Rattus norvegicus: one gene and its partner. The protein of the gene in region 2 purifies or fractionates together with the protein of the main gene of each other region. This does not show direct contact. Links are inferred from orthologs where the notes say so. Each region holds a gene or a part of one and is shown on either strand. Other genes may lie near its edges.

The links.
Region 1: the proteins of Cd19 (region 2) and Cd81 purify together in Homo sapiens (affinity purification with western blotting, with the first as the bait; 3 studies listed by BioGRID). This does not show direct contact. The link is inferred for Rattus norvegicus from reciprocal best matches to the Homo sapiens genes CD19 and CD81.

Annotation. Positions count from the first base shown.
Region 1 is NC_086019.1:207,674,819-207,689,183, reverse strand, and holds the end of Cd81 (CD81 antigen), read right to left. Parts: intron 13,519-14,365; coding exon 13,404-13,518; intron 10,775-13,403; coding exon 10,677-10,774; intron 10,008-10,676; coding exon 9,933-10,007; intron 9,723-9,932; coding exon 9,618-9,722; intron 9,339-9,617; coding exon 9,237-9,338; intron 8,844-9,236; coding exon 8,757-8,843; coding exon of another isoform or gene 8,671-8,756; coding exon 8,608-8,670; 3' UTR 8,090-8,607; downstream 1-8,089. Other genes in the region: Trpm5 (transient receptor potential cation channel subfamily M member 5), read left to right, coding at 442-595, 1,497-1,678, 1,971-2,103, 2,844-2,916, 3,276-3,342, 3,642-3,730; U5 small nuclear ribonucleoprotein TSSC4, read right to left, coding at 5,123-6,088. UniProt on the Homo sapiens protein: Structural component of specialized membrane microdomains known as tetraspanin-enriched microdomains (TERMs), which act as platforms for receptor clustering and signaling.
Region 2 is NC_086019.1:190,417,018-190,432,481, forward strand, and holds Cd19 (B-lymphocyte antigen CD19 precursor), read right to left. Parts: upstream 7,252-15,464; 5' UTR 7,218-7,251; coding exon 7,130-7,217; intron 6,909-7,129; coding exon 6,642-6,908; intron 6,363-6,641; coding exon 6,168-6,362; intron 6,038-6,167; coding exon 5,759-6,037; intron 5,731-5,758; exon of another isoform or gene 4,504-5,730; coding exon 4,393-4,503; intron 4,155-4,392; coding exon 4,106-4,154; intron 3,864-4,105; coding exon 3,775-3,863; intron 3,473-3,774; coding exon 3,371-3,472; intron 3,254-3,370; coding exon 3,152-3,253; intron 3,067-3,151; coding exon 2,998-3,066; intron 2,900-2,997; coding exon 2,843-2,899; intron 2,752-2,842; coding exon 2,695-2,751; intron 2,041-2,694; coding exon 1,954-2,040; intron 1,824-1,953; coding exon 1,732-1,823; 3' UTR 1,717-1,731; exon of another isoform or gene 1,548-1,716; 3' UTR 836-1,547; downstream 1-835. UniProt on the Homo sapiens protein: Functions as a coreceptor for the B-cell antigen receptor complex (BCR) on B-lymphocytes. Decreases the threshold for activation of downstream signaling pathways and for triggering B-cell responses to antigens.

The DNA of each region.
Region 1 (14,365 bases), about 17 Mb from region 2:
GCACATGCATATATGCCCACACCTGCTTACACAGTTATGCATCAGCACACAGCATGGATGAAGCCAGGAGGAGGGATGGCGACATCAGCCTATGCTGCCCTGCAGGCTTGGCCAGGGTGGGGCCCTCCAGGGGAGAAGTATAAATAAAGGGGATGGCATTTATAAGGGGCTAGCACTGTGACTCAGACTCCTTGGGGGATGCCCAGGGCTTTGAGTACTCCCATTATGGGCAGAGATACCTAGAAAGCTGCAGGTCCACTTTCCATTTGGTTTGGTGAAACTAGGGCTGGCTTTTCACAATGGGACTTTTAGTGCTTAAACTAGCTAGCCCCACATGAACCAAGCCCCTGGCCACCCACCCAGCACCCGCACCCTGCCAGCCTCAGCTTGCCTCAGCTTGGAACCACACACCCAATCTGAAGGGGTCTGTTTGCCTTGCAGAGGCCCGTGTGAACTGCTCTCTTCACCCGTTGCTGCTGGACAGCTCAGCTTCCTGCCCTAATCTCTATGCCAACTGGCTGGTCATTCTCCTGCTGGTTACCTTCCTCCTCGTCACTAATGTGCTACTTATGAACCTTCTGATCGCCATGTTCAGGTACCCTCCTACCTCCACATCTGGCCACCTGCCCTCACCAATCCCTGCTCCCTCTTAGTAGGGCTGGTTTTGGGGTGCTGACAGAGACAGAACCCATGTCCTAGTATTTTGCTGCTGTGTCCACTGGGCTGGACCTGCAGTAGAGGGCCAACACTCTAGGTACAGACATACTATGAGCCCACCCCTGCTGTCTGTCCTGTTAGGAAGGAGGGTGAGTCTACAGGGTTGGGGACTTAGAGCTGTGTAAACACCCCCTCCCCTCCATTGAGTAAACTCCACTGCAGCATACCCGAGAATGTGCCTGAGCAGACACCCATCCTAGCCTCCTTTCTGTTGATTTGATATAACTGACTGAAAGCAGGTTAGGAGAAGAAAGGGCTTACTTCGACTTACACTCCCATATCACAGTCTGTCACTGAGGGAAGGCAGGGCAGGAGCTCAAAGCAGGAACCACAGAGGAGTGCTGTTGGCTAGCTTACTCAGGCTCATATTTACCCAGATTTCTTACACAGCTCAAGACCTCTTGCACAGGCCACAGTGGGCTGGGCCCTCCTACGTTAATCTAATCGCCCACAGACACATCCACAGGTCATATGACCTTGACAGTCCCTCTGTTGTGGTTCCCTTCCTAGGTGACTCTAGGCTGTGTCAAGTTGATAGTTAAAGCTAACTCTATTAGCCTCCATCTTTCTGAAAGGGTTCCCAGGACAGCCTAGCTACCCACTGGATGCAATGGGGGATGGCATACAAGGAGTGGGGGGTGAAGGGGTGAGATGAAGGACGGCAAATGAGACACAGGGGGTTGCATGTGGGGTGGGAGGTAGATGTCAGGTTGAGATAGGGTGCTTTCGTGGCAGGGAGAGCAGCTTATAAGGCAAGGGCTTGGCTATGTGTCCTGTAGCTACACATTCCAGGTGGTGCAGGGCAATGCAGACATGTTCTGGAAGTTTCAACGCTACCACCTCATCGTTGAATACCACGGAAGGCCGGCTCTGGCCCCGCCCTTCATCCTGCTCAGCCACCTGAGCCTGGTGCTCAAGCAGGTCTTCAGGAAGGAAGCCCAGCACAAACAGCAACACCTGGGTGAGGTCCCAAGCTGGATGCCACTGCTCCTGAGGGTCCCAACGGACAGAGGAGATCACAGAAGGGACTGGGGTTCCTCATCTAGGCCAGGTTAACCAAAGCTTCAGGTACAGACTAGACAGCCACAAGGCCAGCCTGTCCCCTTGCAGCCTGAGATCCCTGCATGGGGCTTATTTCTGTCATCTACCTTGTGCTCTGCCTGGCGGCATCTGCCCTTGGTCTCTCTTGCATCAGCGCCTAGGGAGAGCCCACACAGCTCTCCGACGCTTGCTGCTGTCTCCCACATTGCCAGAGAGAGACTTGCCTGACCCCGTGGACCAGAAGATCATTACCTGGGAAACAGTTCAAAAGGAGAACTTCCTGAGTACCATGGAGAAACGGAGGAGGGACAGTGAGGAGGAGGTGCTGAGGAAAACGGCACACAGGTGAGGCAGCCTGTGGGACCCCAGACAACAGGCATGTAAGGACCAGGCTGTCGGGTGCCATCTTCCTGGTCATGAGCTGCTCAGAGACGTAGAAGGGGCCCTGCCAGGAGGCAGGTCAACTCATGCAGCAGGGTTGGGCTGATCTTGGTCGGCTGGGTGCTATGAGAGGCAGTTAAGTCTGGAAGGGGCTCCCCATTGTGAACACATGGAGGTGGGGGAATATCTAGCCTTTTCAGTAATGGGTGGGGTTTTCTGAACTGTCTTAAGATGGGTGAGACCATCTAGTGCCAGTAAAAGAACCTCTGAGCTAGGCAAGCAGGCCTGGGTCACAAGACCCAGCTCTCTTGCTCTAGGAAGAGGGTGTATGTGTGTGAGTTGGGAGCATAAGCCCATAAGTAGGCAGCTTTCTGTGATGGGACTCTCTTCCTCCTCTCTCAAGTCTGAAGATCCACCCCTAGTCGGTGCTCGATGGTGGAGGGGGCTGTTCCTGAATGCTTATAGGGATGACCTGCTGGTTATCCTATTGCTTGGTGGTCAATTCCAAGCAGGGACAGGATCTCAATCTCTTGGAGGGTACAGAAGTGCTCCAAATCCAAAGACCGGCCCCAGATAATGATTGGAAGGACAGTAGGGCAAGAGGCGACAGTTGACTGAGGCCCTGAGAAAGCAGTTAGGACAGGCAGGCTCCCCCTTGTGGAATGCCATGGAAGTGTCACAACTGCGGCTGGCCTGCTTTCCAGAGTGGACTTGATTGCCAAATACATCGGGGGTCTGAGAGAGCAAGAAAAGAGGATCAAGTGTCTGGAGTCACAGGCAAGCTAGCAACTCAACTGTCCACTTTTCTTCCTGGGGTGGGGACACCCTTCTGGGAACTACCACAGCCCTGTACCAGCATCCTGATGGGTAGGTAGCATCAACCCTGAACAGAGCAGAAAGATTATGGGCAGGACAGGTGAGACCTCAGGGCACACTGGTCCAACAAAACCTAGGTTCAACACCACATCTGGTCACCACCCCTTATCGTGCTCTATGGGGCAACCTGGTCCAGAGTGTGGAGTCCCAGGGCAAGAATAGCCCTGGTAGGAGGGCAATCATGTGGGAGGAAAGCAACCCCCCTCGTTCCCCCCAACAACCCTCGCCAAAGTCCCAGTATCTCCCTTGGCTCTCTCTAGGCCAACTACTGTATGCTCCTCTTGTCCTCCATGACTGACACACTGGCTCCTGGAGGCACCTACTCAAGTGAGTGTTGGTTCAGGCTATGGGAATGAGATGGGTATGGGCTCCTCCCTTCAGCCACCAGATTAAGGCAAGAGAAAAGCTTCGGGCTGCATATTGGATCCTGCCTTCTCCATCTGTGTTAGAGGTTCCTGCTACCCTTCGCAGGCCACTATTTCTGAGGCATACAGGTGCCCAAGGCTCTGCCTAGCACTGGTCTTGCTATCCTTACCACTTTCCATGTCCTGGCCCTTGTCTCACTCCTGCCCTGCCCCAGCTGGGGCTTTCCAGCTAAGGATCCTTTCTCCCTTTCTTGCTCCCAGGTTCTCAAAACTGTGGTCGCAGGAGTCAGCCAGCCTCTGCTAGAGACAGGGAGTACCTAGAGGCTGGCTTGCCACACTCAGACACCTGAAATGGAGAAACCACTTGCCCTAGAGCTCCAGACCTGGCCAGATTGAGGTTTTGGGTCACATCAACCTTCCCCTGCCCCAGCAGCCCCGAGACCTTGCCGCAGACCATGTCTTGGACACCTCTTCCTATGAAAATGAGACTCATGTCTTTGGCATCTATCTGGGAGCCCCAGGCGTCCTCTCCAGCAGGGGAAGTTTTCTCATGTCCTACCTAAAACTTTCACCAGCTAAGACTGGACAGCTGGAACTGGCCAAGTCCCACATGGGATACCATCTGCCTGGATGGGGCTACTTACGTCTAGCCTGTCTTACCCTGAGTTCCAAAGAGGCCAACCTCTTAAACACTAGAGGTTTCCTTCTTGTCCTCTGATTCATCCATCAGCCGACCAGCTTCTAGAGGGCAGGACTCAGATCTACTGTAATCAGCTCCCATCCTTCAGCCCCCACAGCATAATTTGTGTGATTGTCCTGGCACAAACCCCAAGATACTGCTCAAGGGTACCCAATGCTATTTTACTTTCTATAAAGCCTGTAGACCACCTCAACTAAGCTAAACTGGACCACAGGGGTGGCTAAACCAACATTTCAAACACCTGGGGAACATGGAGTTATCTGACCCAATGAACAGCATCTCTGTTCCTTCTACTACTTCTCAAATTAAATGACCACCCAGGTCCTTTCTAGGCGAACTACAGAGACTGGGGCAGACCCGGTGCTTAGCAGGCCAGGCTGGCTAACTTGGTCCAAGTCCCTGGCCTCCACATGAAATACTCACTCGTGCATCCTTCTCCTCCTCCCTGGCCCAGCTTCAGCTGAAGGATCTAGCATCAGCTGTGTCTTATACAGAGGTCACAAGTCCTGGAGACATACAGCCCGGACACCAACCATTTGCTGGCTCACAACTTATCCTCTTCCTAGAACCCGTGGTCTGTGCGGGCCCAGTGCTGGGGCTGCACTGGTTTCTGGGGGGCAGGGGGACCATATTATGCTCATCCAGTACCATCAGGGGCACAAGGCTGAACACAGCTACGAGCCCACTCCCTCTGGGTAGGTTACCAGTGACAAACATCAATGCCCATGGCAAACCTTCACAGCGGTCCTCACTAGAGCGGGGAAGGCAGGATGAGGCTGGTAGAGATGCAGTCCTGTAGTTAGCTGCCCAGGACTGTTTGGACATAACTCTTGAGTGGGGCCGAGAAAAATTCACGAAATTCAGTAAATACTCAAAACCTTTATTATTCACCCCAAACAATGGGGCACAAAGGCCTTCAAGGTCCCCTGACCCACAATTCCCAGTCTCTGCCAGAGTTGAGGCCCACACATCCCTACTACAGAGAGCCCACACTGTCCCACCTGGACTGGGCAGGTGAGGAGGTAGAGCGATGGCACTGCAGTCAAACTGAGGGTCCTCTCTCAGACCCTGGCCCCTCCGGGTTACTATCCCTGTTCCGGAAGTGGTCTCTGCTCCGCTTCTTGCTGCCATGGAAACCAACAGTTTTCATACCTATGGGGCCTGATGAGGACTCAGGACGGGCAGCTTCTGAAGGCACTACCACCTCTGGCTGTCCCTGGTGGCCACTCCATTCCTCAGCCTCAGGCCCGGCGAGATGGGCTAGCTCCACTGAGGCCTCACCCCCTGCACCTGACACAACCCCCTTCTTTAGGACCCTCTTCCTCTCAGCCCTAGCCTCGCTGCCCCGCACTGGTTTGGTGAAGACCACTCTTCCCTCCCCACAGCTAGAGGGGTCCTGGTTGAAAAAGGGCACATAGTCTGTGGGGGATGCCTGGCTTCGAGAGCTCAGGAAGGCCAGGGCAGCATCACGATTGCTCTGCTCACTGGTTTCAGACACATCTTCCAGACTGTATTTGGTCCAACGCTCAGGGTGTGACACATAGTCAGGGACAGGGTGTACCCTGGTCGGGTCAGTGTTCCCATGCACTCTGCTCAAGCTTCTTGCTGGAGTCTGACTTGGGGGAGCCACAGGCCGCTTGAAGCTGCAATTGTCAACCACACTGGTTTGGGGAGCAGAGCACGGTTCCTGCCGGGCTGCACTCTCCAGACAATCAAAGATGCTGTGGCTCCGCTGGGAGAAAGTGGAGCTCATGCCTCGGAGGTGGAACGGCTGCACTGCAGTGGTGGGAATGCCCGTGGGGTGCGAGGGAGGGTCATCAGGGCCCGAGTCCTCCTGGCTCTCCCCAGAAAGCCTCTCTGGGGACAACGCTTGGACCTCCACACCACTAGGTAAGCTGAGGTCAGAGTCCGAGTCGCTGAGGGAGACGGTGTCAGAAGGCAGGGTGTCATCCTCGGTGGGTTCCTCAACCTCCAAGCCGGCCTCTGTCTCCGCCATAAGACCTGACATCCGTCCCACCTGTAGCAAGGCAGTCCCAGTTCTGCCGTGAGGGGTGTACCTAATGCCGCACCCCTCCCCGCCCTCCCGGGCTCTTTCACCTCCACTGTGTGCCAGGCGCCTCTACTCACAACCGGACCGGAGGCCTCGCGAAGCTGGGTGGCTAAAGGGTATCCTAGCGTGCACAGATGTGGAGCTGCAGGTTAGGTGGGGTTAAGGAGAGAGTCAACCATGAGATCATAACAGTGTGGACATACAATAGATGAGCGCTGGGAGATGCTGGTGACAGGGGATCTCCATCAGCGGCTCGTCCCATCACGAGCTCTTAGCAAAGCGCAGCCTCTCTGGGCACACACTGAAGGCACCACCCGGGGTCCGGAGGGGGAGGTGGCAGAAACAGGCACGGTACTGGCCTGGTCGCGGCCCTAGGGAGGCCAGTGCTCACCGTTCCAGCATCCGTACACGCTTCAATAACCTGCCACCTTTCCCGCAGCGTCCCGCCAGTTCCACGGGATTCCGGCCTGTTCAATCTCGCTTGGATTCCTGGGAAACCGAGTCTCGGGCTATCAGAATATTGTGGCTTCAGCGCCCGAGAAACTACAACTCCCAGAAGGCAATGGGGTCACTGCCTAATGCCTGCCGGGACTTGTAACATGTGTGCCATCCCGAAGACCGGAGCGCACACGGAAATCCACCCAGAAATGACGAAAGGGGAAAAGGCGGAGCCGTGATTCCCACAATACTCTAGGGTTAACTGCCAATCGCAAAGGGTTGAGGCTTCTAGCGTCGTCCGTCGGAAGCCACCTGGGCCGGGTCCGACACGAGGAAGTGCGTCACTACGCACTGCGAGCTACAACCAGTTTCCCAGACACTTCCGGCCCTGGGCGGAAGTGGTGCGGGTCTTGTGCTTTGTTGGCTTTCTGGAGTTGGGCGGGACCAAGGTCCTGGTTGGCTCTTGGCGTATAGAGACGTGGTGGTCCTTGTAATGGGTTGGTTGGGGCTTCATAGATTCGAGGCCGTTACCGTGGGCACTGCCTGTCTGTGCTTCCTGACACAGGCACGGACGGACGCTTTAGGTGCTGGACGCTGACCCTACTATTCAAGGCCACACATAATCCTCCTCCAGGCCTGGGACTGTTTTCTTGCATCCTTAGACACCAGAGTCTGAGGATCCACTGGGCTGCTGCATTCTCTCCTCCTTTACTATGTTCTTGAAGCTGTGCAACAGGCTTCCAACAGCCTTGGCCTGGTGCCCATGGGCCTCACAACATAGAATATAAAGGTTCCCTCAGAAGCCAGCCAAGCATGGAACAGGTTGCCCTGGCGTGGTGGGTGGAGGTGGCTGAGACCTAGAATGCCCTAGTACAAGCTTGGGGTTCACCGACAAATCAGCCTACTGCTGGGACCTGAATCTTAGCCAGGACTTCTCCTCTCTAGTGGCCAATTAACCCAGCAGCCTGGGGGAGGGGTGCAGACAGGAGTCAAAGAGAAAGACAGTGGTGGTTGCCCCTTGTGTCCAGGAGGTTGCTTTAGCCTGATCCTCAGTTCACAGGGGTGAGCTCAGCGGACTGCCTTTTATTTCTTGAGACACAAGCTAGAACCATCCAGCTCAGTGGAATATTTCCAACACCTAGATACCTGAGATGGGGTAATGGTCTAACCTTTACTGTCTTGTCCCTCAAAAGGAAAGTGTTCTTGCAGTTTATCCCCAACATTCTGTGCTGGATTCCCCTGCCTTGTGGCTCCTCCTACCCGACTCAGCCGACCTGGCATTCCCAACAGATGAGTGGAAATGAGGTCAAGGCTGGTGTTAGGTCAGCATTGAGCTCCCAGTACAGGGAGGTACAGAAGTGAGGGAGTACTCAACATGGAGTGCTCCCAGGGTCCCAGCCCTCCCCACCCACTGTGTTCCACAGGCTCTATTGGACCTGCTCACCCTGTACCTGGCAAAGTTCAGAGCTGACGAGCCAGGTCTCTGACACCACTGGCACAGGAAGAGGTCTGGCAGTCCCATTAGCATGCCTGATTTTTTCCTCCTTTATTAAATGACTGTTTCAAGATTTAATTACAGTTGAAGGTGACACGTTAGAAAGAATAAGTGCATTGAAGGCATAAGAGTGCTTACAAACCCAGCTCTTGAAATGGAGGCAGGAAAGGGACAAGGATTAAAAAGATGGGAGCGATGTGACCCACAGTGGGCAGAGTGGGTGGACATGGCCTTCTAGCTTGGCTATGTGGCCTCTGGACAAGTAGCTATGGAGGAGGTTTGGCTCAGCAGGCAGAACTCTCCAGGGGTCCCAGAAGTACAGGGCCCTGCCAGCTAGGGCCAGCTCCACCTCTACGTCCCCACATACGCCACCTATGTGTGGTGTCGGCTCCAAAAGGTGACAGGAAAAGTTCAGAACAAAAAAGACTCAAAAGTAAAAAGGCTAAGTGTAGCAGAGTAATACAGAAATAGTATATACACAGGCCATGGCCCCCAAGGTGGCCTCTGGTCATTCCAGGGACCCTCTGGTGCGAAGCGAAGGGCCTTAGTACACGGAGCTGTTCCGGATGCCACAGCACAGCACCATGCTCAGAATCATCTCGAAGATCTGCAGGAGGGAGAGGCACAGTCAGCACCTAAGACCCTGGGAAGGATGCTTTCTGCCCGCCTACCCACCAGAGGCCCTGTGCTTACCATAATGACAGCTACCACAATGGCTGCAATTCCAATGAGGTACAGCTTCCCAGAAAAGAGCTCATCGATTTTCTGATGGCAGTCTTCCTGCAGGGATGGCAAGACGGTGGTTAACAGTCAGTGGCTAAGTCACAGCTACCACCCTACTCAGTGATGGGGCCTAGGCACCACAGCTTATCTTCCACATGTAAATAAATGTAAAACACATGGACCTGCTGCCTGTGGCCTTCTCTATCACGGGGTAGTGTTTTTGACCTCACTAGTACCCTAGGGTACCAGTGTTTGAGGGACTACTCAAGAGAACAGGTTTTCAGGATATTGCAGGGGTTAACCCAGGCTGTCAGGACCCTGCATCCCACTAATTGAGATGGTCTATGGGCCTTTCAGAGGTCCTGCCTGTTCAGAGTGCTGATCTTCCTGGCGTGCCACATTCCCCTACCTACCACCCAGGATATGATGCCCACCCCCACTCCACGCCACCTTCAGAAGCTGAGTGAATGAGTTGCTGCTTGAGGGACACAGGCTGTTCCTCAGCACGGTGGTGGTCAGTGTGGTCAGCGTATTGGAGCCACAACAGTTGAGCTGCAGAGACCAAGAACAACACTGTCAAGGGAAAGATCAAGCCCACAGCACAGCATCACCCCAAAATATACACTTGGGAGCTGTCTGTCCTTCTGCCTGGTTGGTCACCCTGCACACAAGTCCCATTCCTCCAAACCCCTGGGAAAACGAGGCCCATTAGATTCCTACCTGGGGAATCTAATCATAGAGGAGAACCTTTCCCAGGTCTTGTTACAGAGATCTGGGACTCATGCCCCCACACACCCCACAACCTGCCCTCCTGCTCCAGCTTAGCTGTACCGTCTCATGGAAGGTCTTCACCACTGCCTTGGCATTGTTGGCATCATCATCCATCACAGCCTGCTGAAGGGCCTGGTCGTAGAACTGCTTCACATCCTTGGCGATCTGGGGGAGAATCATGGTCACGTGCAGCGAAGGGGCTACCACCAAGAGTATTCATCCCACCCCCCATGTGCTCAGCCCCATGCCACCTCTTCCACTAAGCTCCCAAGACCCTGCCCCCACCAATGGGCCCCAGAAATTAAAAAAAAGTACCTGATAACCTATGGGCTCAGAGCAGAGGGCATATCTCCCTCCCCAGTGAATCTGGCTTACCTGGTCTTTGTTTACAAAGCCCCAGATGCCCGCAGCTACCTCACAGGCAAACAGGATCACAAGGCAAGTGAAGAACTAGGAGAAAGAAGAGGTCAGAGCCTTGACCAGCAAGCCCAGGCCTAGCCCACGTGACCAACAACTATGTGCCAAGGGGGTTGGCTGTATCCACTAACCATGGCCTGATTAAGAATGAGCCACGTAGAGCCACTGAGAGATAGAGCCTGATACAGCCCCACTGAGATGGCCAAGTTGTCACAGCCTCCCCCTGCTTCCTATTCTGCAGGATATGGCTGGTGTAAGAAATGCAGCTGACAAGTCCAAGTGTCCACAGCCTTCACTGAGGCACATGCAGCAAAACACCCCGCAACCCTGACCTCAGTTTCCTCACCTCCTTTATCCTACAGCCATGGAAAGGTTAAACTATGAAGTGTGCTTCAGTCGTTTCCCCTGCTTTCGATACTGTCAGGGCCTCCCTCCCAGGCTGACCAGGCTCTAGAAGGCATATCTATCTGGGCTTCAGCTTCTTCTCCAGTAGCTAGTATGGTCAGGAGCACTAAGGCTGGCTTTAGGGGTGAGATGCCCTTCTGGAGTCTATTTTTTTCTAAAGTGAAATCCCTTTTTCTAAGATATATATTCATATGCAGACCCAATGGAAATCAAGCAAACAGGAAAACCAAAACCTTGGGGAAGACACGTAAGTTGCCAGAAACCCTGCTCCCCAGCCCTTCAGCCCTTTCTACTCACCGTCCCCAGCAGGCACTGGGACTCCTGGATGGCCCCATAGCACCCCAGGAAGCCTACAAACATCATCACAGCTCCCACAGCAATGAGAATGTAGATGCCTGGGGAGGGGAAGAGCTGGGTAAGCAGGCTGCATGCACCACTGCCTGAGATAGGAAGATCTGACTCACAACCACAACAGGCAGAGGTTAGCAATGTGCGCCATTTGTGCCTCAGTGTCCTGTGAGAGGAGCCGCCACTGCCACTGGAGGACAAAACAGCAATTCAGTGCCCAGAGAACACGGGTAATCTCCATTTCACAGGTATGCTCTGCTCTGGAGCCAGTCCCCCACCACCTGCACCTGAGATCAGGAACCCTCCTCGGCACTCACTGTAGAGGGCTGAGGCAGACTACCCACTTCAGTGCATGAAATGGGGAAGTGTCGTGGATGTTGGGGCCCGATGTCCAGGACTCCCAATACTGGATGAGTGTGAAGTCAAGGGTAAGCTAAGCCAGTAACCAACTCCAGGCACCTCATCTCAGGAACGCTGTATAACCATTCTGCTCACCTAACTCTAAGGACAGGAACCTGTGGGGGGGTGGCTGGAGGGCTGACAGAATGATAGGGATAGTTTGAGCAGAGCACCCAACATCTGCCACTGGCTGGGCTGTGAGTTTGCAGGGGAACACTGTGGCCCACGAGGCACCAGTTGGACCATGTCCCTGCCTCAGTGGCCACAGTACCCCTCAGCCCCGAGGGAAAGCACACTGTGTCTCTGATGAGCCCTCTATCTCTTGGTTCCTCAGTAGAAGCAGCCCATCCCCCAGTCTCCACGGCAACAATGCAGGGCACTCCAAGCTTCCTTGTACAGAGTCAGACCCATTGTCCCCTGCCTGGCCAGACCAGCGGAGAAAGTACCGTGGCCTGGACCTGCTGCCAGACTTAGAAACAGGCCAAATCCTCTGGCCTCACTAAACATGCCTGGTCTAGGGGAAACCTCCCACCAAGGTTGCCTAGAAACTGGTTTCACCTTTGCCTCCCAATGGGCGGAGCACCTTCAACCAGGTCCCTGTTGTCAAGCCCTGAAACCCCAACCTCAAGATGAGGTGTAGGCTGTCTCAAAGGAGGATACATACAGTCGGGCACCCAACACACAGGCACTGTCCCAGGACTTCCTAGGCCTAACGCATGTCTCACCTAAAGCCCATGTGGTGGTTTCTGGGATGTTAGGCAAGCCCTGAACTCACTCTCCTAAACACTGGACAAGACACCTTTTTCAGGGCCACATCTGCTCCTAGAGGAGCTCAGTTCAGGGGCAGCAGGAAGCTCCAGAAAGTCAATTCAGGTTGTCCAGGGACACAGCAGCCAGAGTAGCTCCTACCCATAGGCTATGGGCCTTGCTGTCAGCACCCAACCTGCTACACAGTGTAGTCCCTGAGACTATTTATCCAGTATCCAGGGGGCCATAACCCCAGATGGGCAGGTGGCTGAGCAGCTCTGGAACTGGAGCCTGGAGTAGACTATTATGAGAACATGAGGATAGAGACCTGCTTCCTAGGCCACCCTATCTGGGCTCTGCAGGGTACCCAGCCTCTCCTGCCATACCAGTGCAGAGTGGGAACACAGCCTTCCCCTTGTCTGTCTCTGATGCCCAGATCTCCCTTGTAAAGAGACCCATATCAGTTGCTACACAACAAGCCAGTGTCTGTATGAGCTAGTGGGCATCCTCCTCCTCCTCTGAAGGTACCAGATCCAAGGACGGATAGCTGGTGTGGGCCCTTTCCTACTAACAACCACGCCTGAAAACTGCTACCCCTCACAGCCTTCCTCGAAGGAGACCAGGTTCTGGCCCCAGCCTACATTGTCTGGACTCTACCACGGTCCATTTTACCCACGCTGAAGCTGTGGGCAGAGTATAGGGAGGAAGGAAATAGAGCGAGTCATGTGGTGACCAAAGCCCTGTCTGCTCTGGGGCACTTAGGCGGAAAGGGAGAATGCTGATTACTTCAGATCTCCTGGTCCCCACTCAGCCTCAAGCATGTCTCCCCAGCCCCTTCTAGGCTCCACAGGAGGAGGAGGAAGATCCACATTAGACCCCTGATGAAGGTGAGAGCTTTAGAAGGGTGAAACCATCTCCAAATACTTCTTCAGTTCTCGGGACACCAGGTCCCTCTTCCAGGGGGAGGAAGGAGGAAAGCTTCCTCCTTCAGCACAGAATAGTGGACCACAGCATAGGACAGCATAGCACAGCCGCTATCTTCCTACTTGAGAGGGAGGTGCTCAGTCCCCCACAGGCAGCCAAATAAGGCAGGTGCAGCAGTCTGGCCTCTGCTGGTGGGGGTGGGGTGGGGTGTGATGGGGTATCTGAGTCATTCACTGTCTCCAGCCCTCCCCAACTCAGGACTCCTGGGGCCTCAGCTGTTGCTAGCCCAGGCATCCAGCCCCACCCTGCCCAGGAAGGTTCACTAGAAATGTCCATGTTAAAATAAGCAAGGTCCTACAAGGCCCCTGCCCTTCCCAGCTGCTTCCTTTCAGTTTAGCCCAGTCTCAGATCTGTGGGGTCCCCAGCAGCACCACACCCAACCCAACTCTCCTCTTGTAGGCAGCCTCCCTCTCCAGCTCATATTAGGCCTAGGCCACTGTGGGTTCTAATGCCCCACCCACCAGATTCAGATTCATCAGCCTCTTCCTGGAAGCCCTCCCTGACTGTTCTGGACTTGTGACTAGACCCTGTCTCTTTGTTACTCACCCACATAGAAGGTGCTAGGTGCTGGTTTGTCTCCCAGTTCCAGGTAGAGAAGGCTGGTGGTTTGTGGATCATGGCGCAACCACAGAGCTACACCTAGGATCACACCTCCAGCCAGCTAGGAAAAAAAAATCAGGAACAATGTCATATAGAGGCCAGAGCGCTGTGAGGCGATGGAACCCTACGATGCTTATCATATAAAGCCATCACTTCCAGTTGTGGAGCCGGACGTCAACCAGGCCCCATGGGGTCTGCTCACTGAGCCACTGCCGCTGAGCTCTGGGTCCCACCAGCTCCTTTCATTGTAACTCTAGAACAGAGTTCAAGTGTACCTCTAATAGTGCACGACACAAACAAGGAGGTTTGGGCAGAAAACGTGGCTCAGTTGATAAGAGGCTTTGGCATGTAGGGAGCCCTGGGTTCAAGCTAGCACCACGTAAACTGGGTTTGGTGGCACTTGAGAAGTAAAAGCAGGAGGATCAGGAATTCAAGGTCATGTGAGTTTGAGACTAGCCTGGGCTATTGAAACCTTGTCTCCAAAATCAACAGGAAACATTTTTCCCCCTACTGTTCCAGATTGACCAACTGTACAACATTTTTATCTGAGAAGTGGCCACAATGAGCCCTAGCCACTCAGGATGCTGCCGGGCTCTCCCCTGGTACCCTGTCCCAACGGCCCTGAGACTGTGTAGAGACTGCTTCAGGTAGGGTACTGAGAACTCTGCGGTAGAGACACCAAGGTCTCCCTGCCAGGAGGACAGGGGTGACCATGTGATGTCACCAGGCCCCACGGTGAGAACAGACCAAGGGAAGCAATCTCTTCCCCACTTCTAGGCCTTCTCTTCTGGAAGGGTCAGTGGCACTCCCCAGTAGAGACAGCAAATAGAAACCAGAACCCGGGCCTGAAAGGGCACCTGCTCTTCACTGTGGGGATTCAGGACAGAGCACAAGCTCAAGAAAGTTCT
Region 2 (15,464 bases):
AAAGAGTACACATGGAGCGACTCATGTCTCCAGCCACATATGTAGAAGAGAATGGCCTTGTTAGGCATCAATGGGAAGAGAGGCCCTTGGTCCTGTGAAGGTTCGATGCCCCAGTGTAAGAGAATGCCAGGGCAGGGAGGCAGGAGAGAGTGGGTGGGTGGGTGGGGCAGCACCATCATAGAGGCAGGGGGAGGGAAAATAGGGAAAGGGGATAACATTTGAAATATAAATAAAGAAAATATCCAATTATTTTTAAAGGGGGGGGGGAGAAGTCCCTGAAATAGGAGGTGGTTAATGATGGGCTTGAGTCTGTGGTGATGGTTTCAGAAATGGGAAACTAGGGTTGGGAAGGGAAGGGAGAAGGGTCCTTGAAGTGAACTAGGACCATCTGGTGATGAGTAACAATCACCAGGGTTGAAATAGCCCATACTCAGGAGTGGAGAGAATCCGGTAGGGTAGAACAGGACAGTCTCAGGTAGTGATCCTTGAGGCAACTAGAGGAAGAAGAAGATGGGAGTCAGGAGAGATTATGGGAGCCAGGGGGAGGAGGTGGCCCCAAAACAGCAGAGGATATCACAGTCAAGTAAAGGTATCAGGCAGATGGGCATGATCAAAAAAGAAAGTGAAAAGAACCATCCTGTGAGAATGCAGGGAAGTGGCAGGCGGGGGGGGGGGGGCAGTTTGGGAGGAGAGAGAGGGAAGAGGAGAGGATCAGTTCCCCACAAGGCTAGAGGCCCAGCACTAAAGCCAGGGCTTTAGGCTCAATTCCTCCTAGGTTCTCAGTACTAAGATAATAGGTTTTCTCCACCAAAGAAATAAGCCAATTCAAGCCAAATTAAGACATATAGAGGCAGATTTATTGAGAGCAGCTCTTGAGTACGTTCACAGATCCCAAGGACAGGGGAGGGAGCAGGGAAATGGCACACCTGGGCTAAGGTAAGGGGGTTTTATAGGTCTTAGACAAGGAGTGATGATATGTAAGTTCAGAGCTGGGGTGGTGTCCACATATGGTCAGAAGCTGAAACCCTGGGCGGGCACTCAGGTGGGTTGCCGGAAACTCAGAGATGAGGGGTACTGACCTGCTAGCCCAGAGCAGCCAGGGTTAAGGGAAGAAGGGCAGACAGGGTTTCCCAGTTTGTGCAGGGGTGCCAATCCCATCACTGTCTGTCCCTTGTGGGACACCATGGAATAATGGCTGAACATATTTGCATCATTGGATGTTAGTGGCTAAATATCATGCTAGGGCCAGGATGTATTCAGACCAGCTCTCCTTCCTCTGGGTGATTCAGAGCTGGATTCAGCCTCATCTTTCCTTCTTCTCCCACACAAGGGCATGCTTCAGAGTATTTGAGTGGCTTGTTGAGTTTATTTGGGGAAAGCAAAAAGAGTCAAAAGGAAGCTTTGCTTGTACATGCATATGAGTGTGTGTGTGTGTGTGTGTGCGCACACACATCCTAAACAAGGTTATTTCACTGACTGACACCATCTTCTTGGGATCTCCAGATTTCAGAGTAAGATGGGGTTCTCGGGACCTAAGGAAGTCCAGGCTACGTAAAAGAACAAACCAATAAACAAACAAATATGGGAAGAAGTCTAGGCCCTATTCACTGGACCCAGGAAACGGGTCCCCTTCCTCTCCCCAGGAGCCAGTGCTGCATCATCATCCTTGTTTATCTCCTTCTTCCTCCCCTCTCTGAGGGGCAGTGTCCAGCTCACCTAGTCACCTGGGAGTCACGTGGCACCCCAAGTCCCCATGTGGCCCTCTCCTGCCCATGCTGGCTCTGGGTCGTCAGATTTATCCATGTTTTCATAAGAGTCTGCATCTGGATTAAGACCAGGAAAAGGAAAGTATAAATAGGATAAGAAGGAAGCTCTGGGTGGGCGGCCGGGTCCAGAGGACAACTGGGGGCGAGGGGGTCCAGAGACAACAAGGAACAGTGCAGAAACACCCACCTTCCTCATGACTGGGACCAGACCGAATTGATTGGAGCTGAGGAGCTGCATACAGGATCCCTCTCATGTCTTCGTAGGACTGGGACCCTGCTTAGGCATGGGATGGAAAATTAGAGACCCAGAAACCCTGCTGGGGCTTGGGGAAGGGAAGTGCTGCCTACCCAGGAGAGAGGAGCTAGGCAGGGAGTAGAAGCTCCTTATGTCAAAGTGGGAATGATTTGTCATCATCGAGATCCTACTCAGTTGTAAGAAGGCTAAGGTCAAAGGAAGGGTCGAGAACAGAGTTGGGAGGAGTCAAAGCCAAGGTCATAGGAAATGATACAGACAGCTGGGGTCAAGGATGAAGTCTGCACTATTAGACTGGAGTGAGGTAAAGGTCAAACTCTAGGGGAGATGTTGGGGGTCAATGCTTTAGTTGGTTGGCTGATTATTTTTTGTTAAATTTTTGTTACAAAGTCTCATTCAGCCTAGGCTGGCCTGGAATTCACAAAGTACGGCAAGCTAGCCTCAAATCTCCCCGCCTTAGCCTCCCACAAGCTGGAATTCTAGACACAACTATGTCAGGTTCATTGGGGTCAAGACTGATCTTCACGGTTAGAGATGGTAGAAACACTGGGAAACAGGCTAGAGGGTGGAGTTACAAATCGGGTCCAACGCCAGGGTCAAGCTTAGGCTTGGGGATCAGAGCTAAGTTTATATCATCTGAGATTGACCAAAGAAAGATGTCCTAAGTACTCTCACCAAGGGAGGATGCTTCCCGGCTGGGGTCCCATGCAGACCCGTGGGGGCTCAGGAAGTCTGGAACAAGAAGAGAGACAAAGATGTCACTTTTTCTCCTGGTCTTCAGCCTCTTCCAAGAGTGGCAGCCCTCAAACACTCAGATACACACCCATCGTCCTGCCAACTGGTTGGGCCAGCTCCTCATCTGCATTTTCATAAGACTCGGCTGTGGAAGAGAGAGCCCAGGAGTTGCTCAGGCAATAGGAGCTCTGCAGCACCAAGAGTGCTTTCCTAACCACCAGCCCCACAAGGACCCCACATTACCATTGGAGAAGGAGTCTTCCTCCTCTGGACCTACGGGGTCATCCTCAGGGTTCTCATAGCCACTGCCATCTGATAGAGAAAGAGGGTTATCTCTAGTAAAGGTCAGCAGCCCACAGTTGGGGAAATGTTGGGACCAGGGAGAGTGGGGCCTCACCCTGGGAAAGTTGATCCTGCTCAAGGTTGGAGTCATTCTCATAGAATTCAGAGCCCTCCTCGCTGTCTGGCTCTTCATAGGCCTCCCCTTCTTCTTCCAGTCCTGAGTTTGGGACCGGTGTGGAGAACTGAGTGGCATCTCTCCTCTACCAGCAGTCCGCTAACCCCACCAGAGGCTGCTCTGACACTCTCCAGTTGAGGAACCACCCTTCAATCTGACCTGTTTCATGTCTCTGAGCTCCAGCATCCTGGACTTCAATGCGTGGATTTCCATAGGACACAGGACCACTCCCTAGGCTAGCAGCCCAACGCTGAGCATGGGCTGGTGGAAAGAGTGTTTTAAGATGGCTGTCAGAGGCTGTTCAGAAAGCCTCTGTGTGCCTGTGTGACTGGCCTTGAGCCGTGGGGAAGGGATCGAAATGTGGGCCTTGGCCTTAAGTTCTAGGACAAGGCTCACTCTGGCCAGGGTCCAGACACTGGACTTGGCCGATCTGATGTTATTTAGTTCTGGGCTCTACTCTGGGGAAGGTTCTGCTCCAAGAAGATTGGAGAAATGAGGACAATGCATAGCTGGCTACTGCCAGAGGGAAGTTGAAGGCCTCCCAAGGGTGGGTAGTCCCTCACCCTGGCCAGAGGTAGATGTAGGAAGGGAGAGCACATTCCCATACTGGTTCTGGGTCCCGTTTCCTGAGGGAGGCGTCACTTTGAAGAATCTGGAGGAAGAAAGAGTTGGTGGTGTACCTTAAGGCTGAACCACGTAGGGATTCCCAGTTCCAGTCTATTCTGGAAATTAACTGTGTAGGGATGCGTACCCAATGAGTTTGTGACCATGCCAAGCAAGGTGATTTGGAAGGTGGTCTCTGAACTTGCGCAGTATTTCAACCAATAGAGATGGCCCCAAGGCCCACGGGACAAAGAGTGTAAAGCTTGCAGCAAAAGGGCATTTGTACTTTACCTCCTAGCAGGGTCGGTCATTCGCTTCCTCTTCCTCCTCAGGATGAAGGCTGATGGGATGTAAAGAGGTGGATCAGGAGAGGGTTTGGCAGGCAGGAGGTGAATTTGGGGATACAGGGGAGGTCACTTAGGTCAATATAGGAGATGATCATACAAATTCTAGGGCCTCCAGGAAGTATGAGAGACAGTAAAGAAGCATGAGGCTATGGGATGTGTCAGATTGGCCAGCATAGGCTTATTCTGAGAAAGATGGGGTAGAATTTAGAGAAACTCAGGGGCATGACTTACCTCTTCGAAAATAGAGAAAAGCCGCCATAGAAACCATACAGAAGATGACATATACTAAAGTCACAACTGGGACTATCCATCCACCAGTCCTCAACAGCCAGAGCCACACTGCTAAGAGGAAAGTGCTATGAGACAAGAACCCCACAACACATCTTATTCCCCAACCCCTCAAGGGTCGTACAGCTGAGAGACTAGAGCAAGACACAGACTCAAAGTCTTAATCTCTTCAGGGAGCTCTTCTCCCTTCCACTAAGGAAGAACCAGTTGTTCCCAGGAGAACAAGGGTTGTGCCACAGAGCACAAGACTCCAACAAGTCACATACAAAGCATGGGTATTATCCTAGCAATGTGAGGACTAGGAGATGGTTAATTCTGCAGTTAAGGATAACCATGGTCAACATGGAGGGCAAAAGTGAATCTTCCAAGTTAGAGTTGAGATCCAACATATGTTGGGATCAAGTTTGAAGTGGAAGCAGAGGTAGCACTTAACAGTTGTGGTCAGGATAGCATGGTACTGTTGTATTAAGGAGAAGCAAGGCAAGACATTGTGGCGAATTTGATGGAGGGAGTGAGGAAAGAGAAGACAGTCAGGCTCCTAACTTGGGCAAATGGACCCTGTATATGCTTCTCAGTGCTCCATTTGTGCAAAGCCATCCAAAGTGTCTATGTGGGAAAGATGTCGATTTGACTTTATATATTAAGCCTGAGATGTCCACTGGACATGAAATGGCAATCCCAGGAGATGACTGGTTTTGGGGAGTATAGAGCCCAGGAAAGGTATAAGGAGTGGTAACCTAGGAACCATGGGAGTAAAGGATGCCAAATGAGAAGAGGGTGTGGATAGAAGTGAGTACAAGGCCTGGGGCTCCAAAAGGGAGCAGTGGTGGAGGAAGAAGCCAGCAAAGCTCACAGGGAAGAACCAGAAAAACGAGATCTCAGAAGCAATGAGCAAAGAGCTAGAGTTAGGATTCAGTGTACAAACTGGAGTTTGGGATGAGGCTTGAAGCTGGTTCTGGTGCCAGTTCCAAGTCTGTCTTGGTATTGTACTCATGCCTCAGCCTCCCAAGTTCTAGGTTACAGTTGTACACCACCAGTTTTGGTCTGTCTGTCTTTCTGTCTGTCTGTCTGCCCCCTCTCTCCACACACACACACACACACACACACACACACACACACACACACACACACACATGAGAGAGAGAGAGAGAGAGAGAGAGAGAGAGAGAGAGAGAGAGAGTGTGTGTGTGTGTTAGTTCTAGGGATGGAAACAGAACCTCATACATGCTATGCCCACACTCTACCACAGAACCACACCCCTAGCCCTTCTAATTCTTCCAGTAGCTCCCAAAATTGGAAGAAACCCTACCTGACCTTGCAATGACCTTCACGTGCATCTTGATGGTCAGGCCTCCTTGGAGACAATAATAGGTACCTTCATCTGAAGCTTTGGCTTGGGGCAGTAGCAAAAGAGACCCCCAAACCCACATCTCTCTCACTGGGTGCTCTCCCCCAAGGCTTAGGCTCAGTAATGAAACGTTAAGCGTCTTAGGATGCACATGGGTCCAGGAGATGGAGCCTTTGGTCACTGGGACAGGGGGTACGCCACAGGACAGCCAAAGTGTGGAGCCAGGGGCCACAGTGAGATCTAAGGCAGGAGATAAAAGGTAAAGAAAGTATCATGGGGGGGTCTCATTTCCCCCCACCCCCGAGTTCCCAGCACCATCCCTATCCTTGAGCCCTCACTTCCCAGCACTCGAACAGCCCTGTTCCCCTACCTTGGTTGATTAGACTCTGATTCAGACTGATCTCCCGTGGGGCACATACAGGCTTTGTTTTCCAGACCTCAGGATGATCTGTAGCCCACACATACAGCTGGGAACCAGAAGTGGACCTGTGGCTCCCTGAGGACCTGTTTCCTAGGTCACAATCCAGGTCCCCCAAGTCTGAAGCATTCCACCGGAACAGCTCCCCTGAGAAGAGACCCCAGACTAGACGCAGATCAGGAGAAGGGGGAGATACAGAGGCCCCAAAAAGCAGAGCCAGAGATACAGGGAGAAAGCCACTATGACTAACAGATGAGTGAGACAGAGACAGAGTAGCTCAGAGCAGCTACGAAGCCGTAGGAACCAGGTGCCTAGAACTAACTCCTTCCTGCCGCTGTAGCGTCACTAGACCTAAGAACTTCCTGTGTCCATGGAGAAACCCTCTTTACAGCCCACCCCCACAGCCCAGCCCTCCCAGGCACTCACCACTATCCTCCACGTTTACGGTCCAGGCAGGCTGCCAGGTGTCCTTGAAAGAGGGCCTCTTTTGGCACAGATAGAAGCCCCCCCTATGGTCCGAGACATTGACAATCACTAGCAAGATGCCCAGGGGCCCGATGTGCAGACCCAGGTCCGGGGACCTGAGGCTCAGCTCCAGGAAGGGTGTTGACTGGTTACCTCGATACCAAGCCAGCTTCTCAGAAGAGACAGGTGAGGAGTCCCGGAGGCATGACAGCACAACATTGTCTCCCTCTGTGGGGAGAGGAAAAGGAGAGCCCCAACCCCTTTTCCCTCCTCATAAATCAAAGGACCCCAGAAGTTCACCATATGGAAAGCCCTAAAGGTCTTTCTGACACCTCTCAGAAGTTTACAAGTAAGAAAATGGAGGCTCAAAGAAGGCCAGTTACTCAACCAGGAACCCAGGCTCCCAACCCTAGCTCCTTCCAGTCAGACGTACAGACAGACAGACATACCTTCTACCTCCACCAGTAAGGAATTCTGGGGCCTGCCTCCTACTAAGGTAAGGAAGAGGAGGAGGGAGACAGGGAGAGGAGATGGCATGGTAGCCAGGCTCCCTGGGGCACCCGGCTTCTGCGCGGCTGCGCAGAGGATGCTGGGGCAAGCAGGAGCCTAGTGGGCAATGAACCATGGGTGTCTGTGAGGGTTGTGGCAGTCCCCACATAGAGGAAAGGGGGTGGTCACACCTTGGGCCCCCTTTTGCAGGCACTCTTCCAAATCCACAACACTTGTCCCCTCCTGTCACCCAGCATTTAAACCAAGTATGTGATCTTACGTATGGTTCGGCATGGAAGTCCGGTAAGGCTAATGTCTTCACCACTGCACGCACAGTGCTTTCCACACAGTGGCACCTGGTAAACATTTGTCAAATGAGTGGGTACAGATTTAGGGTCTTTTTTCTCCTCCTTTCTCCAGGCTCCAAGCTCTGACCCCATTTTACAGCTCTGTTTCCAGCTGGTAAAATTAAAGGCATACGCCATCGTGCCTGGCTTCCACTTTTTTTCTCTATCATCTGAGGATAGCATTAGGATTTTATATTGGGTCTGGTGATCCAGGCCTATAATTCCAGTTACTGGAAAAAATCACAAAAGTCAAGGCCATCTTGGACTGCAGAGTGAGTTCAAAGCCAATCCACAGTACTCAGGGAGAACTTAACTGAAAATTAAAAAGTTTTTTTAAAAAGCTGAGGACATAGTTCAGTGATAAAGTATATATATAAGACCCTAGATTTGGGGTTGAGGATTTAGCTCAATGATAGAGCCGCCCTGGGTTCGGTCCTCAGCTCCGGAAAAAACAAAAAACAAACAAGCAAACAAAAGACCCTAGATTTAATCCCTGCTACCACACAGGCATAGACACAGACAGACAGACAGACAGGTACGCGCGCGCGCGCGCGCGCGCACACACACACACACACACACACACACATACCACACTTCATTCTAGCTTAGGGTACATAGCAAGACCCCCCTCTCAGAAAAGGAGGAGCCAAACAGGCACAGAGGCACACACCTTTAATCACAGCAACTGAAAGGCAACAATAGCTGGATCCTTGGAAGTTTCAGGCCAGCCACGGCTACTTAGTGAGACTCTGTCAATCCCACCCCCAATATCCCCAAAAAGGAATGTGAGCTGGGTAGATAATGTAGACCAATGGTAGAACACTTGCCTACCATATATAATTCCCTGAGTTGCAGCACAAGAAAAAACAGTGGGTGGTGTCTAGGGTGTATGTGTGTGGGTGGTTGTAGTATGATGTGTGTATGTATGTGTATGTGTGTGGGGTTTGTGTGTATGTGGTGTGTATGTGTGCATTTAGTTTGTATGTGGTGTGGTGTGGTATGCATGTAGTATGGTGTGTGTGTGCATGTAGTTTGTATGTGGGGTGGGGGTATGTGTATGTGGTATGGTGTGTGTGTGTATGTAGTTTGATTGTGGGGTGGGGGTATGTGTATGTGTGTGGTTTGTATGTATATGGTGTGTGTGTGTGCGTGTAGTTTATATGGGTGTGGTGGGAGTATGTATGTAGCGTGGTATGTGTGTGTGCATGTAGTTTTTACGTGGTGTGGGGCGTGTGTATGTGGTGTGATGTGTATGTGTATGTACTTTGTATGTAGTATATAGGGGAGCATATATGTGGTGTGGAGTGTGTGTGTGTGTGTGTGTGTGTAGCTTTTTTTGGTTTACAGTTCAGTTTCTGAGAGTCATCATCAGTTTGTGGCTGAGAGTGGCGCCCACTCAGCTACATGCAAAACCATGGTTAAATTTCCTTATCTCTAAGCAAGTTAGTAAGAGAGCTGACCAGAAACTGTTCTGGGGGCACAGCAATCAGAGCTGGGAAGAGGCTAGACAGCAGTATGGTGACCAAGAGCCATGTGCTTTGCAGTGGTCTTTAGAAATGGCTTCTTATTAAGATCCCTTTATTCTCCAGGTAATTCCTGCTTCTGTTGTAGAGACTCACAGACATTAAGTTTAGGCCTCAAGACTGGAAGAGCATTATCTAAAGTCACACAGTGATAGTACAGTGTCTATGCATGTGTGTGTGTGTGTGTGTGTATGCCTGTGTGTATATATATGTGTCTGTGTGTGTACCTCTGTGTGTATGTTGTGTGTCTCTTGTGTCGATGTGTCTGTGTATCTCTGTCTCTGTGTGTGTTGTGTGTGCCTGTGTGTATGTGGTGTGTATGTGGTGTGCGTGTGTATGTGTATATGTGTGTCCATGTTTGTGTGCCCAAGTCTGTGTGCCCGAGCATGTGTGCATACCTTTCACTGATGACAGCACTCAGAGGAAAGACTAAGAGACCCAAGAGACCTAGTTTCTGAGTTGAGTCCCAGGCCTATCTCTACTGGGCTGTGACTTCCTGTTTGCCACAGGCAAACCTCAGGGGACACCACAGGTGGTGGGCCCTCATTTCCCTTGATTGAGCTGAGGGGCCAAGGAGAAAGAAGGAGGCTTGGGAAGAAGAGACTTCTAACAGTGGGCACAAACTTGCCTAACACCCAGCAGTGTTTCTCCCTTCTTAAGACCCACAAAGGATTTCCATTCATCTAAAGCAAACAGACAAGAAAACCCTCCAGTCCACATCCAGAGGAAATGACACTATTCTCTATTCATTCCTCCATCTTTCGTCTTCATTCCTCTTATTCAACTTACCAAGCATCTCTCCCACCACAGACCTTTTCCACCACACAACACTTTCCACTTGGCTAGCTCCTTTTTTTTTTTTTTTTTTTATCACTTAGCTCTCAGTTCAAATGTTACTTCCTCAGAAAGGCCTGCCCAGAACTGCCAGGTACTTCACATCCTTGTTTTATTTCCGTTCTAGCATTTGCCTCAGTTTTAAATTATACTCGTTAGGAGTTAATCTCATTATTTACATCTCGAGTCAGAATGCAGACTGTCCTCTCCTTGTCTTATGTCACTGGTGAGCTCTACCTGTGAGGGGGGATCCACAGCCCTAGGCTGTTCATGCTAACAGAGATCTTTTTTGTCCCTAGATGCACTCTGGTTTAATGAAGGTTTAATATGTATTTATTGACTGAAGGAAGAAAACAAGTGGGGAAGAGTAAAGAAAACCTTTCCCTGAGGTGGAACGATGGCTTGTCTCCAAACGTGAGGACCTGAATCCTGTCCCCAGAGTCTTGTGTAAAATTGCCAGGCACGATCTGGGAAGGTGGTGTGGTGGGTAAAGGGCTTACTACACAAGTGTGAGGATCACAATCCCCAGAGGCCACATAAATGCCAAGCAGCCTGACTGAAATCTCAGTCTTCGCAGGACCTGCTGACTAGCAACACTAGCTTATTGATTGAGAGACCCTGGCTCATTTGAGTTACGGTGGAAGAGCAGAGGAGGGCAATTTTGGACATCTACACGTGGCCTCTATATGCATGGACCCTCACATACACACATGTGCCTGAATGAAAAAAAGGAATAAAAACGGAGCATGTGACTCCCCCTAAGTATGCTGGAGGAAAAAGTTTATTGTAGACATGAGAGAGAGCAAAGGCAGAGGCAGAGACTCTGGGAAAGTCCAGAATGAACATGACCCCGAGCTGGGCCTTGTGAGGAAAGTGGGGAGGGGAAAGCCAAGAGACCAAGAGGCCAAAAGGGTAAAAGGTAAAAAGGAACCCATAACCGAATGACTGGATTATATGCAGAAGAGCATCTGGGAGAAGGACAGCCCCTGGACTGGAGCCTTCAGGGTAGGGGGCAGGGTATGCCAGCCATACCCTGTAACAGGCAAGGAATAGAGATGCTGGGAGAACCTGGTGACTTGATCTGTTTTGATATGTTAAATCCGCCTTTTGCCTCAGGTTTGAGACCTAACTTCCATTGTTGATAGATAGTAAGGACCATCCTGATAAGGAGTGATGTAATCTTTTCTATGACTACTTCCTTTTGACTCTGAGGTGTCATTGCTGGGGATCCACAAAAGCCGGAATGCTTCGTAAGGGTGATGGGAAGGAGGGAGGGAGGGAGGGAAAGAGGTACACTTGCTGTCCAGGCTTTGTGCCACCATCTGGGGCTAGGGAAGTACAGCAGTCTGTGATGCTGGGCTGGCTGGGGTTAGCCACTTTTGGAGCTGTCTGGGATGCAGATTCAGGGGCTGGCGAGCAGCTAGAGCAGTCTGCAGTTGATTTGAAATCTGCTGGGACAGACAAACTAAAGACAGACGATAAAGTTAAGGAGTTTAGGGGAAAATTATTTGTGCCATTGAAACTTCCAGGCCCTCCTTCCTGGTAGTTGGGGGAGGGGAGTTTTAAGACTAGGGAAGAAAGATCGAGACCCCTACCTTCAGGAATGGGTGGAATAGGCAGGTGGGGGGAAAGTCTACTGATTGACGGTACTTCTCTGGAATCTGATTGACCTGCTGACCCCGAAGCTTACAATAATTTTTTTTAAGTTTTCAAAAATATAAGAAATTTTAAATATGTTAGCATTACCTCTGTTTGTAACCTATCCTGAAATCTACATTGTAAAAAGAGCAGTAGATTCGTGCCTTAGGGTTATAGTAAAAGCTTGGGAACCCTAAAATGATTCTGGGTTGAAAGCCTCTCTGAATTTATCTCCTTTCAGAGTCTGGGCAAGGTAAACTGTCTTCTCAGCCGGAGAGGGTCGCTCTAGGAAAGGAGGCCTGAGGCCTGATTTTTTACCAAGGAAGAGAAGGCAGCTATGGCCTTGGGGGAGGAGCTGGCATGCTTGCTGCTGTTAAAGCTACAGTTAGTCAATATCACAGAGATCGGAGAAGAATAAATTATAGCTATTTCAATTAAAATGACAGAGATTCACCCACTACCTGCCCTAGGCTCCCATGGTCTCTACGTGGCTGGCAGTGGTCAGTTGTTGCTGCCTGTTCTACAGAATTTAATTTCCAGCTGATACGCAGAGTACAGTGGGTATCTGTCTGCCAGACCGAGACACAGGGCAATAACCCAAAAGTGGCTACAGTTTGTGTACAGCCCTGGCAGCAGGTGAGTCATGGGGCAGTTTTGCCCAGTGGTTAATTTTTTCAAGAGCCTTCAGGTGAGCTACTACTCAGTTGCTAGTGTGAGAATTCTCCAAATTTTTATGTAGGCAGTTAATGCTAAGAACTTTCCTCTTAGGCCTGAGTTATTGTGCCCCGTAAGTTTGGGTATGTTGTGTATTAAGTTTCATTCAATTCTAGGAAGTTTAATTTCTGACTTGGTGTTCCTTCGTAGTGAATTGTTCAGTTTCCATGTGTTCAGTAAGCTTTCTGCTGTTCCTGTTTTTGATATTCACCTTTAATCTACAGTGGCCTGTAGGTCTCCCTTCTCCCTAGGGTGGTTGGCTATGAGGACTAAGAGAACAGAGTCGAGGAACAGGGTTTAGGAAGGCCCACGAATGGAAATGAGGTCGTTCCAGAATCAGCTTAGGGGAGACAGATCAAAAAAAATTTTTTTAAAAAAAAGAATTATTTATTTACTTTTTATGAGTACGCTGTTGTCATCTTCAGACATGGTTGTCTTCAGATGGTTGTGAGCCACCATGTGGTTGCTGGGAATTGAACTCAGGACCTCTGGAAGAGCAGTCAGCACTCAACCATTGAGCCATCTCGCCAGCCCTCTACAGAGCTTTTAAGCCTAAAATCCACAAACATCTGTGCCAAGTTATCCACCAATCAGGATTTAGGGATGGGGATTTCCTTAGGAACGTGTCTTTGTTGTACACTTACCCTGCTCCCATTGGTTGGGGTATTCAACTGTGGCAGGAGACTTGGCTTGTCTGATATTCATGTCTTGTCTACAAGGATGGGACTTGTCTAACATTCAGGTCTTAACTCGCCAAGCGGGATCAGTTACCAGTGATGTCTTGGGAACTTAAACATTACTGGAGCACTGCTCAAAATAGAAGTCTTATTCCGAATAGTTTCTTATATTGGGCAAGTGTCTCACTTATGTTGTGGTCCATCCCAGGGGCAGCTTATAGCATAAAAGCTTATACAAAGGTACAAGATGAACTTGCTATAGGGTGGTTATTTTGGGTGCAAGCCTATAGTGGGTAACTATACAAAACAGCTCTACTGACTTCTATTGTGATTCTGTGAACATAACAGAATTACATAATCAATCGAAGCATTTGAAAGTTTTTTAGTAACAGCAGAAACATATGAGAACGTTTCCTTATAATGGCAGGCTAGCCAGGTAACTGTTACCTAGGCCTTAATTTTCCATCTAGGTCTTAATATTTTATCTAGGCCCCAACACTCTGATGAGTATGCAGTGTCCTTCTCTATTTCTTCTAATTAGTTTTGGTTTGAAGTCTATTTTGTCAGATGTTAAAATGGCCACACCAGGACTGGAGAGATGGCTCAGCAGTTAGAGCCTGAACTGCTCTTCCAGAGCTCCTGAGTTCAATTCTCAGCAACTACATGGTGGCTCACAACCACCTATAATGGGATCTGATGCCCTCTTCTGGTGTGTTTGAAGACAGCAACAGTGTCCTTATATACATGAAATAAATAAAATAACTCTTTTTAAAGAAATGGCCACACCATCTTGTTTCTTAGGTCCATTTACTGGAATCTAATCTTTTTCCATCCTTATACCCTAAAGTGATATCTATCTTTGATATTACAGTGTGCTTCTTGGATGCTATTGTAAGGCTGGAAGTGAGTCTTAACTACCAGGAGACCCCTTCAAGTGAGACACGAGAATGGAGTTCGAGGCAAATGTAAGAGGTTTATTTTTCTGGCACGTCAGGATCAACCCTTAATCAGCCCCTTGTGGCAAATGACTAGAAGACGACCCTGAATGTCTATCATAAGCAGTTTTTATACTTTTTAGGAGTTCAGGTTACATCAGCAAGGTTACAGTTTGTTTTGTTTTGTTTTGTTTTGTTTTTCTGGAGCTGGGGACCGAACCCAGGGCCTTGCACCTGCTAGGCAAGTGCTCTACCACTGAGCTAAATCCCCAACCCCTAAGGTTACAGTTTTAACTTATTGGCTAAGCATATTGACCTTTGAAGTCTATTGGCTAGCAAGCATATAACATGCATTCAAACTCTATCTGGGACCAGAGGGTCAGGTGACTATCAGTCAGTACATTTGGCTTTTCAAGAATGTCCCTGCTCCTCCTGAGAACGGTGGGTAGAGAATGGAACTTGGCCTAGCCTTGACCCAAGGCCAGAAGCTGGTACTTGGCCTAATCTTGACCTGAGGCAGTGGGTATAAGGCTGGCAAAAGCCCCTAGGGTCCTTTGCTATAAAAGCATAGACCCCATTTTCACCCCATTCTGTTAGTCTATGTATTTTTATTGAGGAGTTGAGATCATTGATGTTGAGAGATATCAATGAGCTATGTTTATTGTTGTTGTTGGTGGTGGTGGTGGTATGTGTGTGTTTTCTGTGAGCATAAATTTTTTGCAACCTACCTTCAATCTCTCCTCTAGCCCACCAACCACCAGAAGTAATGGAAGAGAAAGTTATTAGGAAATGGAGGAAGTGAACCTGTTTAGCAATAATTCTTTTTTTTTAAATATTTTATTTATTATATATTATGATTACACTGTCACTATCTTCAGACACACCAGAAGAGGGTATCAGATCTCATTTCAGATGGTTGTGAGCCACCATGTGGTTGCTGGGATTTGAACTCAGGACCTCGGGAAGAGCAGTCGGTGCTCTTAACCACTGAGCCATCTCTCCAGCCCTTTTTTTTTTTTTTTAAATTAGCAATAATTCTTAGGGGGTGAGCTCAGTCTTCTTTGTCAGCAGTTCAGTCCTGTAGCAAACACCAAATACAACTCAGCAGGTGCAGACCAATCCAGTAGGCAGACAAATAGCACATATGAACCAGCAGCTACAGTCCAGTCCTCTCAGCAGGAAGGCACCACACAGGAACCAGCAGCTGTAGTTCAATCCTGAAGAAACTGCAAGACTTGCCAACTGGCTGCTGCAGGAACCATTTGAGCAGTTCTTTGGAGCCCCATACTGTGTGAGGCAAACCAATACATGTGTGTAGCTAGTGAAGACTAGGGAGGTGGATCAAGCAAACCAATGCTGGATGTTCGTGTCCCACTGTCTGTGGGGTCGTATTTATACTCCTTCATCACACATCCTCTCACATGTCTGCTATAGCAAAAATCCTTTCCCCTGGGTCTGCTTCAGGAAAACATTCTTTCATGTGTTCACTTTACCTAGACATTCTTTCCCCTGTGTGCCCCAGCAAAACAGCATTACACATAACTGATTTTCCAAAGAAACAAAGTTTCCACTTCAGTCTCCCTTCTGTTGATTCTGGGATTGCTTATTCTCTGTTTTCTTGGGTGTG